2 linked regions of the Lepisosteus oculatus genome follow. The protein of the gene in region 2 interacts with the protein of the main gene of each other region in a biochemical or structural test. Links are inferred from orthologs where the notes say so. Each region holds a gene or a part of one and is shown on either strand. Other genes may lie near its edges.

What was found. The genes of interacting proteins can lie anywhere in the genome.
Region 1: the proteins of ston2 (region 2) and syt1a form a complex in vitro, tested with the Homo sapiens proteins (2 studies listed by BioGRID). The link is inferred for Lepisosteus oculatus from reciprocal best matches to the Homo sapiens genes STON2 and SYT1.

The regions. Positions count from the first base shown.
Region 1 is NC_090702.1:20,470,336-20,477,775, reverse strand, and holds the start of syt1a (synaptotagmin-1a), read left to right. Parts: upstream 1-4,347; 5' UTR 4,348-4,632; intron 4,633-7,440. UniProt on the Homo sapiens protein: Calcium sensor that participates in triggering neurotransmitter release at the synapse. May have a regulatory role in the membrane interactions during trafficking of synaptic vesicles at the active zone of the synapse.
Region 2 is NC_090703.1:2,847,504-2,855,487, forward strand, and holds the start of ston2 (stonin-2), read right to left. Parts: upstream 3,064-7,984; 5' UTR 2,247-3,063; intron 2,226-2,246; exon of another isoform or gene 1-2,225. UniProt on the Homo sapiens protein: Adapter protein involved in endocytic machinery. Involved in the synaptic vesicle recycling. May facilitate clathrin-coated vesicle uncoating.

The sequences.
Region 1 (7,440 bases), on a different chromosome or scaffold from region 2:
TGCTGAGCAATACACCAATCTGTAAAGCTCTGGGTATGAGATGATATCTTCTTGAGGAAATGGGTCTCTTTTTCAAAGTATCCAAAAGTGAAGACAACACAACAGAGGTGATTATTTCTGTGATGGGTAATGCAATTTATAGTATGGTGCAAGGCTGTTTTCAAAGATCTGTGAAAGTGGCCATGAGAGATCCTTTCAATTTGGGGGTGTTTCCAAAACACTGAAGATATTTGTAAGCATCAATGCTAAGGCCTCAGTTCGTACATTTGTCCTTACAGCATGTTACAGTGCTGTTGCAGACATTCTCCTGGATCACATTAGAGCCCAAAACAATTTGCAACAACAAAAAAACATGCTTTGCCTCATGACAGGTTAACTGGTCGTCTTTTCTGTCAGAGTGTGCAGAGTGAGTTGCATGGGGCAGTGGTGGCCCACCCATGCTGATGGTCCAGACTGGGCCAGTCCTCTCTTTTTCCTTTCCTCTTTTTCTGCAGCTGTGAGTGTCCTTGACATTAAGCTGAAAAACTGACAACTACCTGACATTGAGCAGGATCAGTCTCACTGGCACAGTTGTGCTAGTTACTTCTGAATGCACATCACACGCATCCCAAAAGTGCTTGCTCACAGAATATTCCCAAACCATATGTGGACTGGTGCTAGTAACACACTGACTGCATCTGTGTTCGGACAGGGAGAAATCTTAATCTGGAATCACTGGGATAGTGCTGTAAATATTCTGTGCACAAAATGGATTAGCTGATGATTTATCCCAGTCAGAACTATCATCCAGTTTGTCTTATTCTCTGTCCCAAATAAGAGTACTTTGCAGGGCACTGATATAAGTGGTGAGAAGTCCTATAGAGACTAGACCCTTGAAGCGGCTGTAAAAACAGTTACATCAATCACTAAATCAGAGGGCAAAGCTCTATTTTTGAAGTGCAGATTGTGATTTACGGCATAATAACAAAAAGACAATGGTTTGATATTGCTGCACCTAAAAATATCCACAGAGCAAGTAAGATTCCCTTTGAGTCTAAAGAATGTACAAGCTATTGTACAAAAAATATCAATATTTTGTACACCAAACACAATAAGAAAAAGGGTGTGAACCAGTCATTTAGGGTAGATGGTTGCAAATTGGTAAGAGTTGATAATGTTTTGGGGGGAGTGTTGAGAACACAGCTCTTTATTCTTAGTATCTAGTAAGTTTAGAATAATTTGGCCCTTTCAGAAGTCGTCAATTCTCCTGTTAGAATAAAAAAATAAGAAATAAGAAAATAGCATCTAATGTGTTTAAATAATGCCTCCTCATTTGGGCAGCATGAGACTGACACACAGGAATTAATATCCTATGATGAAAAAACAAATAAAAAATGTTTAAGAATATGTACAGCCAGGCCATTGAAAGCTTTGTGTTACTTGTTGAACCACTGATCGCTGATCAGCTGAACAACTGCAGCCTAGTACAGGAGAATGAGTATGATGTATCTCTTCCAACATGCCCACTGTTAAGACTGCTTGCAATCTGAGCTATTGCAAACTCAACAGTACATTACAGCACCGTTCACACTGTCTGAATAAGCCACACTTCTCCTACTGATGACTCTGCAATTTCACAGTCACCCACTGTGCCACAGGGTTTCATATTGTGTGCAAGCCTGCAATACTACTAAGAATACTCCAACCAGTTCAAGACCTCATAAACCCTGGCAGGAACTTTGCCCTGAATCCTGATCACTAATCCTGGTGAACTAATGAAATAGCTCAGGGCCTAACTGGCTCTAAGTGTAATCTGTACTGCATTTTAAGAAAGATTGTCAGTACCTGACTTTTTTTGATTGCCAAAATGTCCCATACTGGGGAGACAGTTTATTAGATCAAGAGAAATGATGGTAAAACATGATGTACTGTATGTGTTGTAAAAGCAAATTGATTTTTTTATAGTCTCTCAATTATACAGAGTGAAAATTTGATATCTGACAGAAGAGATTGTCTATCCAAATATATTGAAAAGATCTATCTACTGTAAATGATCTTTCACACACTATTCTTTGCCACCTTTGGCTTCCATCTGTAAAATCACATACTGTACCTGCCAACATGCGCCATGTGATCATGTTAATCAAATAGAGTGTTTGCTTTAGCCTACCGCTGGTTACTCTTCATAATGGGAATGAGTGCTAAATGTAACTGTTTTATCTGTTCAGCTCAACAGAGCACTTGGAACCACATCAGATCATTAATGCTTACCATCCACTTTAACAGAAAATACTTTGTGAAAAATTATCAATGAGTATAATTTATTTTTAATTTCCCTAAAAATGTACAAGATCCTTTCATGACGTCATGATGCAAAGCAAAAGATGCATACTATTCTATAGCAGTAACTTGTGTACAGTAGGTTAATAATTTCATAATGCAGTTACAGTATTGTCATTGGATTGATATAGAAATAAATGTACTTTAATATGTACTGTAAATGCTACATAATTACAAAGTATTAAAGTGTACTCTATATACAGTACAGTACACTGTAATTAATGTACCTGTATTTTGAAGTGAATCTGTGTCTAATGTTCTGTTTTCTGTATGCCTTGGAAGAAGGACAGTGCTGTATAAAATATTACAGAATGAAAAGGATTTTGTTTCAGTTTATGAAAAAATGAAGCGGTTCCATACTGATATACATAAAAAGGAGGTATATCTCCCATTGGGCTGATTGGAGCTTGTTCTTCTTTTGAAGAAATCAGTGTTTGTTTTAATCTATCAAAGTTGGGAATATCCTTAGGGTTTGTTGAATAAGGGAATGGAACTGTACTGAAGGACCCTCCTGCTTAAGCTTCCATGATAGCTTTTACATGTCTATTTATTTGCTCCAAATCCCTCTAGAATTACTCAGAGGATTTTATGCATCTAACTCAGACACTCGTACTTTAATACATTTAGGATGTCCAGTGTAGCCTGTTTCTTGTTCTTGCAATTTGGTCAGTTCTTTTTTTTCTTTTACAATTGCTACAATAAAATAAAAATGCATTAGGAAAAAATTGCAGTATTCTATTATTTATATAGTGAATGAAATGAACATGCTGGTGCCTGCTTTTGTATTCTGAAAGAGCACTTGGACTCACATTAATGAGGAACCTTCAAAGCAATGAAAAGCTCTGTAACACACTGAAGACAGAAGTCAAAGTGACTTATCTAATCAGTGCTGGTCAGACTAATCTTTGACCAAATCCACACTTGATAATTATTAAAGCTCTCTCGTTGGATGGAAATAATATTCACATGGCGTAGGAGTTTTATTCTTTCCCAGTCTTACAAACAGCAGGCTCTAGGAGGAAGTGTCTACATCTCCGGTTTAAAATTCTAAGACCTGATAAATTTGGATTAACTCATAGTAAGTTAGCAATCATGACATATACACTGCCATGTGTTAGCTGGTATACTGGTGCCTGTTGTAAAACCTGAAATGGTTCAAACTGCTGCTGTACAGTATTCACCTAGGAGAAAGAAAAAAGAATGATTTACATCGTAGTGACAACAAAGCAAACAAAAAAGAATACAATGGCTTCGTAATGAAAGTCAACCCCCTATTTATTAACAGGAAGACTTAATTTTCTTTCTGTTATTTGATTATATACATTTTATTATAGTTATTCGCTAATCAATGTCAGAAAGAAGATAAAACTGAAGAAACTATACTGTAGTTCACTGGATCTCTACCTGTTGTAACAGGGCTTTTGAGTGAGGAGGAGAGTATATGATTATTATTTTCTCATCTTCGAATAGAAGCAAGATGCTGCCAATAAATAAGATCTCAAAGGATACACAGTACTGTGCGACTAATTGGTAGATATTCCTCACAGATGTTGAAGAAAGGACATCTGTGGACACAACACGTTAAAGGTGTATGTTCCAGTCTAGCTTGTTTTCCATGAAATAATAAATCAAGCTCTTTCAACACAGGGTCCATTTTTTTTCATGTGTATGTTTGTCCATGTTTTATTATTGATATTCCCCTCTTCCCTTGGGAAATCTTGCCATGGCAGTGTCCCTTCCTGGGCTCTAATGAAACCTCAGTGCATTTGTGTAACTGAAGGAGTGGCTGAGGTTGCTAGGATGTGCCCCTCCCTCACATCCCAGAGGAAAAGTGCTTATTTGATGTCCTTGATTGTCATTCGCAGGGGCCCTTGCTACCGGGCGTATGGGATGCTAATGCAAGATGAAAGGGTCATCCTAGTTTACTGCTGCCAGATTAGATATTCCAGGCAGCTCCCCTGCTCTCAGCCAATCACAGGCAAGGACTCCGTGATGCAGGCCCTCTCTCACTGGAGGGATTCCGAAGAAACTGCAGCGTGATGATGCTCTGTTAAACAGTCTAGTGTCTCTCCCTCTCTTTCTCCCCCTCTCTCCCTTCCCAGTGCTAGATAAATCCAGTGTCTTTTTTTTTTCAAATAGGGGATAACACAGCGCCGAATGTAAAGGCTCCCTGAAGGCTGGCCAGAACATACAGGCAGCAGCAAGACTTTCTTTGGCAAGACATCACCTTTTATTCCATGTTTCCAGATTGCATCTTACCTTAAAAGGCAACCATCTAGAGCCCAATTTGCACCACAAAGACAGCAATTCCAGGTAAGATCCTGTTCTCTTTCTCAGCCTTTGGTGCCATGGAAGTCATGTTTTCTGTTACTGAAGTACAGGAAGTCTACTTAACTGTGTGCTCATATTTGTCATCCTTTATGACCCAGTGCCTTCACTGAATTGTTTGTGGTTTTGCTTCATTATTTTTTGGAGGGGAGTGTGTGGGTGGGTAGGAGATTTCGTTGTACTATACTATTGTAGTTATTGGCTGGGACTACCCCTTCACGAGAGTCATGTTTAGGCTGTGCTCTTGTTTATTCAAATAAAGCACTGAGTGCGTGGGAAGACACAGTCGACCTGGAGCACCACACAACTGCTTTCAGATTGCAGCCAGGGAAACTAATCCTTTGGTCCATACCATCAGATAAAGTGGGAAGGTTGTTTTAACAGCTTTCAGATATGATGGACTTATCTTTTACTCAACTTGCTTAGGCTAGAAAAATATTGATTTTCAAATTAACACCTTTGTAAACTGAAATAAACCCACCTTACCAGTTTGTCCTCTTTCTTGCCTCTTTCCACAATTGGAAATGTATCATATTAATCCACACTGTTGTTATGAAACTGAAATAATACATTGTTGCTGGGGTACTGTAGATTATGGAGCTGTTCCTTTGACAGTCTAATACCAAATTTCATTTGGATATGTGTGTGATTACAAAATGTAACGCTAGTGATATTTGTATATGCTTTTGTTCATGTATTCCTGAACTGCAGTATTTGTAGTGTGGGGTTCTCCTCTGTTAGTCTTTACAAGATAATTCAATTGCCAGGTTTTTACATATTAAAACTAAAATAGTAAAAACTTTTTCATGATCTGCAAATATTAACACAGTAAGTCCTAAAATGCCTTATTTCAGTTTACATCTTTAAGTTTGGGTTTGCCATTTCCCTATGTTACTGCACGTTGATAAACGATAAAATAGTAAGGAAATGGTGTCTTTGTTTTCTGTTGTATATTACTTCAATTCATAGGTGGCATGATAGCGGTTGCTATGAACATTTGCCGACATTGCAAGTAACTGCACAGCTGCCTTACATAATACAGTAACAGTACTTACATAACAGATCCTGGATGTGTCTAAACTATACAATTGAAACATGTTTCCTAAATAAGAAAATAAACAGTATCAAGGATATTTTATGTGTTTAAATAAAGTCATGAAATTGACAATCAGTTTATGGAGATTTTTAACATGCCAAACATACCAGGAAAACTCTTGGGCTCTAAGCCTACATGCTTTTAATATGGTTATTGGGCAGCATGCTAATGACAGTTTTTGCAATCTGTAATTCAATCAGCTCTGATACACACTGCCTTCTACCATCATTCATCAGACCCAGCTGAGTGATTTCTGTCAGATTGCAGGCTGTATAGAGATCTCTCCAGGTAAATGTTGCTGGCAGGCTGTTCAAATGCGGTCTTGAATGAGCAGTAGACAAAAAAGTGCCTGGCCACAATGTACTGACAGATGTTAGTTCCCAAATAAATCATTTCCTTCAATTGTCAAGGGGGATGTCATGTTTTTATCCCTTACTGAATGCCCATTAATGAGTAGAAAGAAAACTGATTCTCTGCCGTATGTACTTGTAAGCATACTCCATGTTCAGGATTTTGTATTATACTTTTAAAAGTCTGAGGTTAGAAGAAGCACAATGGAAAAAATGCCACTGGTATTGCACAAGTCCTTTGACATTAACCACTCATTTGGAGTACAGCTGATGGGAAATAAACAGTACTGCTGTTAAAGGTAATTAGAAATACAAAACTAAAAAACAGTAACAGTACTCTTACTGTAGTTCAACCTTGTGATGCTTTGGTGCCAGAGATTTAGCATCCGGAAATGTGCGGCAATAACACTTATAGTACCTGTGTGATAGATAAAAGGGATTTATATTCTTATCAATTTAATATGAAAAATCTTCCTTACTTTTACATGAGTTGGTCATGTAAAAATGGGTTCTGGAGGGGAATTGTAAATAATGTAAAAATGTTAACTTGTCATTTAGAAGGCAAAATGCGCTTATCAAGAAAGGACCAAAAGTGTAACAGGAAATGACCTTGACATGACTGTCCATGTAATGGACCACAAAAAGAAACCCTTCATTGCAGTCAATCTAAGGTGTACAGGTCGTTACTCTGTTATTATTACTTATTTACTTCATTGTGTGTGTACTGTATATTTTTCCTAACATCTGCGTAATTAGATTTGTTGCTCTGGTCCTCGAGGTCACAAAGTCACATCTTATGATGCATTTTCTCTCTTGTTCAAGAGTGTGTTTTTGCTCTAGAATGACAGCTGCATGTTTACATTCATACATATTATAAAAATAGCAATTTTTTAGAAAACATCCAAATCAGCTTAAAATGCTCTGAAAAGTTAATAAAATAAGTTATTGTATTGAAATCGACAATAATTTTTCTATATTATTAAATATTTATAGATAAGACCATGAATCTGCCTCTTCAGTGTACATTTTAACAATATTTATAGGGATTTCCTCTAAACTCCATTTAATTTTTAACATCAGTCGTCATTGTAGCGCCAATTATTACATTAAGGTGAGTTCCGTGAAGGAGCTAGCGTCTCTTGCTTGTGTAGACATGCTGCTTACTTAGTCGCACATCATCTTTAAAATTCATTAACTACTGCAAGACCTCATCACTTCTCTCTGCATACATCTAAAACTACACGTTACTCTCTACCTGGAATTAAACTGCATGTAAAAACATTGTCTGTGTCAGAATAAGCTGCCAAAAAAAGATTTTGCAGTTTCCTTTTGAAACGAGCAACCACC
Region 2 (7,984 bases):
TGCAGACCCCCACCACCCTCTGTGTAAAGACGTTCCCCCCCCGTTCTCAATTTGAAACCCATGTCCGTGAGATATGAAGAGGAAGGAACAGCCGTCATGTGTCGGAGGTTTTATTACTGAGCTCCAGTCTGGACCATTTCCTAGTGTCCAGGCCACAGGGTATCCCAGTATTCCCAGTCATGAGCTCTGAAGCTCAGGGGCCAGTACCTTGTTAATGAAATGAATGGGAATTTTCAAGGCCTAAAGTGTACAGTATTTCTTATCAATAGCACACTTGTGTGTGTCTGGCCCAGTAGGCAAGCTGCAGTATACGACCACCATCAGGAGGCTTCGTGGACTGGCTGTTTTAACACCATTCCACTACCGCTGCCAAAGTCCTGATGTGTAAACGGACATTAGGACTTTCCCTCATTATCACCACATCAGAGCCCTTCTACAGACACCACGCAGTGCTTAAGCTCCAGTCAGAGGAAAACACTTCGGAAGGTCAGTGGAAGGTCTGTTACAGGCTGAAGTAGTTCAGGTGGGGCTGCAAAGGAACAAGTAAAGGTTTATTCCCTGCTGAAGAGAGAAGAGAGAAAACACAGCGTTTCGGCCGTGGAACCTTCTTCGGGTGTAACCAGTTACAGGCTGGACAGGGCACACAAGCTCAAAGCTACTGCTCGACTAGCTGTGCCAACAACACATGTTTTTTAAAGTCTAAAATGGAACAATTTCCACAGCCAATGTCAACAGAGTGCAAGTGCGGTCATCAATACTTCTGCAATCAGATCACAGACTGACTCAGCGTGGGCTTCATCACGACATCCGGAGCGATCTTACTGCTCGGCGTCGACTTGTCCCCACTGGAGACCACATACTGTACATATACAGTATATGGAAGGATAAGAATTGGGACCATGTAGTTGAAAAGTAGAGGTTAATTACACGCTGGAAAGAAGGAAGCAGGATGACAAGACAACCTTCTGCGCAGCTTTCTTGATCGTGTGGAATGCCTTTGCATTCTGGAGCACAGGCAGCAGTGTGAAGACGTGGTTGGGGCTCTGGACTCGTAACTGGAGGGTTGTGGGTTCAAACGTGATGGAGCTGAGCTGCAGGACCCTTGAGCAAGGTGCTGTTCAGGAAGCCAGTGGCCTGCCTGCAGTGTGAAACTAGTCTCCCCAGAGCGAGCAAGCTTGGAAAGGGAAACCCTGCTCCAGCGACGACAAAGCCCACCCAGCAAACACCTTCCGAATTAACCACAGCACACAAACCGGAGGACAAGAGGACACCAGCTGGGCGTGCACCCGAAACCAAGAGCAGGAGAGCCCTGCGTACGCCAGTGGGCTGCAGGGCCCAGCACCCTGGTGCCCGCCAACACTCGGGTCAGTGAGCGGCTCACTAGAAATCGGACTAGACCCTCCTCTCCACTGCTGCCTTGACTTTGTATCTGAACTGCAATGTGTGAGGCCCATTCCCCCATCACGAACTGTACAGTGCGCTGCTGCAGACCTCCTGAAGTAGCCAGCGGGACAGGACGAGCTCAGCTGCGCAGGCCAGTGTCTGTTTCAGTCCTGCATTTCGAACAGCTGAGGTGCTTGCAGGGACCCGTCTCGCTGCGTGAAGCTCAGGTGCTGGAGACTTCAGTCGCGCTACCTTCCCCACGAGATATCTGTGCGTCGGGCTGTGCGTGGGACAGGACTCGCCCAGTGACCCACTCGAAGAGCTCAAGACTTACAACGATCCGAGAGAAGGAGCCCTGCAGCGCAGAAGAAAAGGAAACTGCCAGAGACCGCACGCAGTATCGCGAATGCCGGAGCTTATATCGCTGAAGAAGACTATCCTGTAGATAACACGACAGGGAGAAAACATTTCTGCTACAACCCCTCACGCTTTTGCACTGCTGTTTCCTTAATGTTATGATGTGCCGCACCTGACCGGCCAAAAAGCAACACTGGACGGTCAACAGTGAGCGACAGACGCCGGATCTGGGTGCAGTTTAACAAGCAGTTTAACCACCTGCGACACGACACACAGCAGACTGCAGGAAGCCCACGGCGCACCACGTTTCCATGCACAGCTCGGCTTGCGAAATGCATAACTCGTAACCTCGTTTATCAGGGTACATAAAACAAAACGTTGTAGAATTCAAAAAGGGGTTCTCTTCTCTCGACACTCACACGACAGCACTGTACGGCTGAGCGCAAACTGCAATCGGGACCCTAAAGGCACGTCAGAACAGCAGAAGTGATCTTATTTGAAGTTACCGCAGATACCCCTTACCACGCACGCCCACCGCGCTTCTGTCGTTCACCGCTGCCAGCCACCGATCCAACTCTGGGCGACCCACACGGCCGGCCGAGCAGGGGACGTGCTGTACTGTGATCCCCCGCCACCTACGTCTGAGTGGAGTACTGCTGCAGCATGAGAGCTCCCAGCGCACTGGCCGGGCAGGGGCACCACACGCAGGACAGCTCGGGGCTCCAGCCGCTCACCTCCTCGCGTCACGGAGCAGAACCACTTCACGAGGGTGTCGGAGTGGGGGCTCCGGCCCACGGGCCCCCCCGGGGCAGCGCGGCGCGTGCGTGTGGGCAGGCACGAGGGCTGCGGGGCAGGGATTGGTCGCGCGCCGTGGTTTTCTGTGTTGCGGAAAACTTTTGTCGTTTCGGAAGGGGGGAAAAACAAAAAAACAAAAGGCGTGCACTCTAAACAAACGATCGCTTGCTTTATCCTAGAGATCCGTGGGCTCAAGGGACTGCTCCTGCCGATTTTACACGAGCTGTTTGAGGTTACAGAACAGTCCTATCGTATGGTCGCCGAAAAGTTGGGTCCAGAAATCACTTTGTCGCATTTGCAGCGCCATCTGTTGACATTTTAGATTCTTTTCTTGCATGCATTTACTATGTGGGTAAGCAAAAATAAAATATTCACCTTGACACGAAATCATGTTCCTCTTTCACTCAATTTAAAGAATCTCTTGATCAAAAAAGTTTTATTTGACGGAATGAACTCGACATTTTAACAAAAAACACAAATGCATCCTATTCCTTTACCAAATCTGAGAGACAAGTAGAAAGTTTTCAGTTTTCACACAGCGCTGGGCCGGATGTTCTGCAATATATACGAGCAATGTGTAGTAATACATTATCTTGTTTTTTTACTAGTTTCAGATCCTGCCAAGCCGAGATAATAAAAAAAACACTTTTAAATCAGTAGGTGGCAGAAGAGTTCTTATAACGAAGCAGCTTGCATTTGCTATCCGAAATAAAACCGCTGCGCAGTTTCCTATCATGTCTAAAAATATTCTGTGCGGTTTTACATCGTTATATATTTAATGAAAAGCGATCATTTACAAAGCTTACTTTTGGGCTGGATATGACATTTTTAGAGAAATAACTCACATGCATGGGTGGTATTTTATTAGCCAAAAAAAAAAGCTCTTGTCGTGACCTGAATTTGTGGTTGGTTTCGAGTTATTTTGTGCGGGTATTGAATTTGTTCTGTTTCCAGCCCTGGCAGAAACACTGCAAAGAGCCGGTTCGACCGCCAGGTGGCGTCGCAGCGCGCTGCTGCGTCCAAGAGAGTCGCTGTGACTTGTTCGCTTGTCGGGCTCTGGCCCGTTGTATTTGTTTACAAAGAGGTTGCCGTGTTGCAGAACTGTGTTGTTTCCTGTACACCCTGAATTCGGTCTGCACGCCCCCTGCATTTAAAAACATACTGGGGGAAATATTTCCGATCAGAACAACCACGGCTGTAGTCCGATTCCCGGTTTATTTCGAAGCGAGCACGGAAAAGCGCCGCTGTTGCTCTCTTTCCGGGAGTGAAGGTGTCCTCTTTGGCGGAATCAGTTTTTAATGAGAAGTTTCAGTTGTGGCTCGTGTGCCTGCATGTGCTCAGCAGACAGGATTATCAAGTGTTTGTAGTGTTTTTGCTGTTGCTGGAGTCAGGGCTCAGTCTGACACGCTGCTTCTGCGACTGGCTACAGTTAGTAGTCTTTCAACGAGGCTTTTTCCTTAGAGGGGGGAAAAAGTTTTTGCGAGTTTTGAGGGAGGAAGGGGTGGAAATTCCCCCCCCAAAATCCATTTAACGGTAGGAAAATTGGAAATAAATTGTGCACCGAGGCACAAAGCTCGGAAAGTTGTCCTGTGTGCTTTATTTTAACCAGGGCACTTCTCGGAATGGAGCATATTTCTAGCGTGCAGAGATTTTCCTTTGCCCCGCTACAGTCTGTCTGTTTTCCATGCATTCCTGTGCTTTGCGTCATGAAGAGACCGGCCAGCTGAAAAGTCCGACTTCCATCTGTACTGCCTGAAGATTTTAGTGTCCGCATTTCTTCTACCAGAGAGGGATTTCTGCAAACACTACTGTAGGTCACAGACGGTTCATTATCTTGTGGTACTCTATGGCCTAAAATCCGTTATCCATTATTAATGCCTTGCTACACGGTCACCTCAGGTCGGTCATATTGTTCTACAGTTTTATACGGTTGTTTTTAACAGAATCACAAATTGGGTCAAAGAATAAAATGCCTGTTTTTTTGTGTAGTTTTAACCATCAGGAGAGGAGAAAGATATTCCATCTTTGTAATCAGTCTGAACAAGAGCAACCAGCTACACTGTGAGTTTAAAGAAACGTTGCTGAAAGGACCGAGCTTCTTTAGTCTTGAGGGAAGAAGACTACGAGGAAACCAGATTTAAGTCATTCAAAATTCTCAAAGTCAGTGACGCAGTTGAATCCTATGGCCTATCAGAATCAATTTGAGGACACCAGTGGAAACTACATGGAATAAAAGTAAGAACAAGATTAACATTGTTTTACAAGAAGGGTTGTGGGAGCATGGAACAAGCAGCCATGAAGTTGAAGCCAGTATCCAGGCTCCCTTCAAGAGACGGCTGGATGAGGTCAGAACAGTTACAGTAGCTACTAACAAGGGCTGGACGGCCTCCTCCCGTTAGTTACCGTTCTCATTGGTAACCAACTGAACATGGCAAACCAGCAACTGCAAATGTACAAGTAAAGGTTTATTCCATGCTGAAAAGAAACACAACGTTTCGGCTGCCTTGCTCACCTTTTTGGTGTAACTTGTAACTTGCTTCGAAATAAGAAGAGGGTTACTAAAATCATACTGGAGACTCCATTCATGGGCTGTTCAGGGGAATATGTAATATTCGATGTCCTCTGTAAACTCTTATGGAGGCTGTCCTAGCATCTTAGGAATGCATGTTGTTCCACACACTGAAGTCTGAGGTTCTATTCAAGTTCCAGTTAAAAAGCAGTTGTGAACACAGATATTGAAATGGAAAAACTGATAACCAGGTGAGTGAAGTGTGCTGTCGCACACAGGGCATGAGCACAGCACCGTCTTTACAGTATCTTCATGCCACTTGAGTTCGCTCCTGTAGAAGCTAGTGCGTACTCACTGGCAGCAGCCCCACCACGTAATGCACTTCAGGAGCTACAGAGCCACTTTGTAAACAGGTCGTACGTCCTGGTACTATAATTGCACCCAGGATAAGTGTAATTGCAGCTGTCTGCCAAGTCACATTAATCCTCTAAATAAGTTCTCAATTAATTCACTGCAAATCAATTGGGTCTCTTTTTCCACAGGTGGCGAGGCTGCAGAAACAGGGCTAATAGCTCCAGCCTGATTACTACTTGGCTCTGAAAGTGATCAATAGCAGAGTGTTTACTTTTTGCCCTCTTCCCCCTCAATCGAGTGTTTGAAGCACACTCACTCACAGCTACACACACACACTCAGTCGCAAATACACTCATACAGACACACACTCACTCACAGATACACTGACTCACAGAGACACACACACAGATACTGCTGGAGCACGTGTTGAGTTACAGAAGTCACGTCGACACAGAGATGGCAGAGCTCCGCGTTCAATTTCAGTGGCAGGGTGCCTGGAGTTTCCAGTCACCATGGCTGAGCTGAGAGGTGGCATCTTCAGAGAGGACTTGCAATTCCTCATGGGCCCTCCCAGTTTTCCGGAAAAGGGCTCCCCCTAGGCCTATTGATATTTGAAAAATTATATCATTGCAGATGATCTTAGTGCTCCGTTTTGGTTTATTTTGCATTTTACTGATAGCATGTAGTACTGGTACAAAATTTAACATTGCCGCACAGCTGAAGGCAAAAAAAATATCTTACAAAGGAAGTGCAAACATTTACAAAGCCAACATTTTGTAGACTGAGAGCAAAGGTGTTGTTTGAAAATCTCTCTCATCCTACTTATTGATTCATTCATGTTTCATTGATATCGAACTATTCCTCTCCTAAGTGTTTATTGCTTACCTATCAAGAAGCAGGCTGGTAAAAAATCAGCTTCCAAATCTGTCTCAGTGAGGAGTGGGATCTATATCCGGATCCCTTTCACAGCCAGGAGAAAGGGATGTGTTATTAAAGTGGAGTGAACAGGGGAGCTCTCTTCTCCATCTTGCTCTTCAGTGCAACATGTTTCCTCAGGTGCAGGAGGTGGACCTGCAGTGTAATGAAAGATCAAGGGCATTAGAACAGAGAAAAGCAAGGGTGTACCTGCAGTTAGCAGTGTGGATCCAGAACATTAATTTCACTGCAGGCTCATTTGTAGTGGGGGAAGGAGGGTGACAGCAGAAGGCGCTGTTACAGTGTGTGGGAGACGTCATGGGGCTCTGGTTCCCGGGCGCGAGGAAGGAAGGGGAAGGCGTGGTACTGTACCTGCGTTTGCACTGCGAAACCCACTGCCTCCCTTCCCCGCAGCAGTCGAGAGCACGCCGTCAGATCAGGCCAGTTCCAGTATTTCCCTTTACCGCTTGCAAGTACGGTGTGTGCAAAAGAAACACGTTTCCTGTCAACTCTAGTCCATTTGAAAACAGATATTTCAATTCCAGTAATGTGGGAGCCTATGGAACTGTGGCCTTGGATGTGGTTGTCGTTACTGTATATAGCAACAGGACGGGCCTGAGTGCCTCCAACTTCCTAGGTGTCCAGTGAGCTCAGCTGGTTAGGGTGTGGCACTAATAAAGCCAAGATTGCAGGTTCGGCCCTCATGGGTGGCCAGAAGTCCCCAGCTTCTTTTCAGAGGGCACCAGTGGAAACGATGTGGAAGTGCATTTAAATCTGAGAGCAGGAGTCGAGCTGCCTGGCCCTGTTGAAGCCGATACCCCGGTTGCGCTGAGGAAATAGCTGAACCGAGATCATCAGATCAGAGGGGTACAGAAGCAGGCATGGGTTTCAGCCCACTCACACCTTCACAGCTCGTCCAGCAGCAGCTCCAGGGCCTCTTCCCCTCTCCCTGACCCCAGGAGGTCCCGGACAGAGCCCCCGTGTCTGTGAAAGTGCTGGTGGTCCCAGGTGTCGAGGGGCCGTGAAGTAGCACTGGAGAGAGGAGCAGACGTCTAGGAGGTGAACCTGCAGCCCAGCGCACCTGACCTACAGGTATTCAACTGGGAAAGGCACTTCAGAAGTCACAGAGCAGTAGAAATATTAAATACCCAGGCCCTATTTTTTTAATAATATAATGTTATAGAGGTATTCTTTTTGTTTTCAGAGTATGGACTTCCTGTTTACAAATAACACTCAGCACATGGATGTCATTCAAATAAGAATGGGCATAAAAGTATCATGATGAGGTTTCATAATTGTAGCCAACGGATCTGGTTGTTAACGGGCTCCACAGGAAGGATATTCGGGAGCTGAAATCATGGTGTGCTCTGCACAGTCACGACACAAATGCTCATCCCTAAAACCCTCTGGTCTGTCCAGATGTAAATCATAGTGTGGACTACAATGCGGAGATTTCACCGAAACGCTGCAGTGTGTGTGCCTCCCAACCTGGGACTGTGCTGAAAGAAAAGGGGGCCCTTAGATCGATTTCAACAGTGTGTGTGCCTTTTCAATTTCAGCACGGCTCTCCTGCATGCATTACCACTTGTTTCAGCGACACTGAAGACTGACACTCTGGAACAGTTGCAGATGTGTCTCCTCGAGGCGAAGTGAAGCAATCAGAACTTGCAA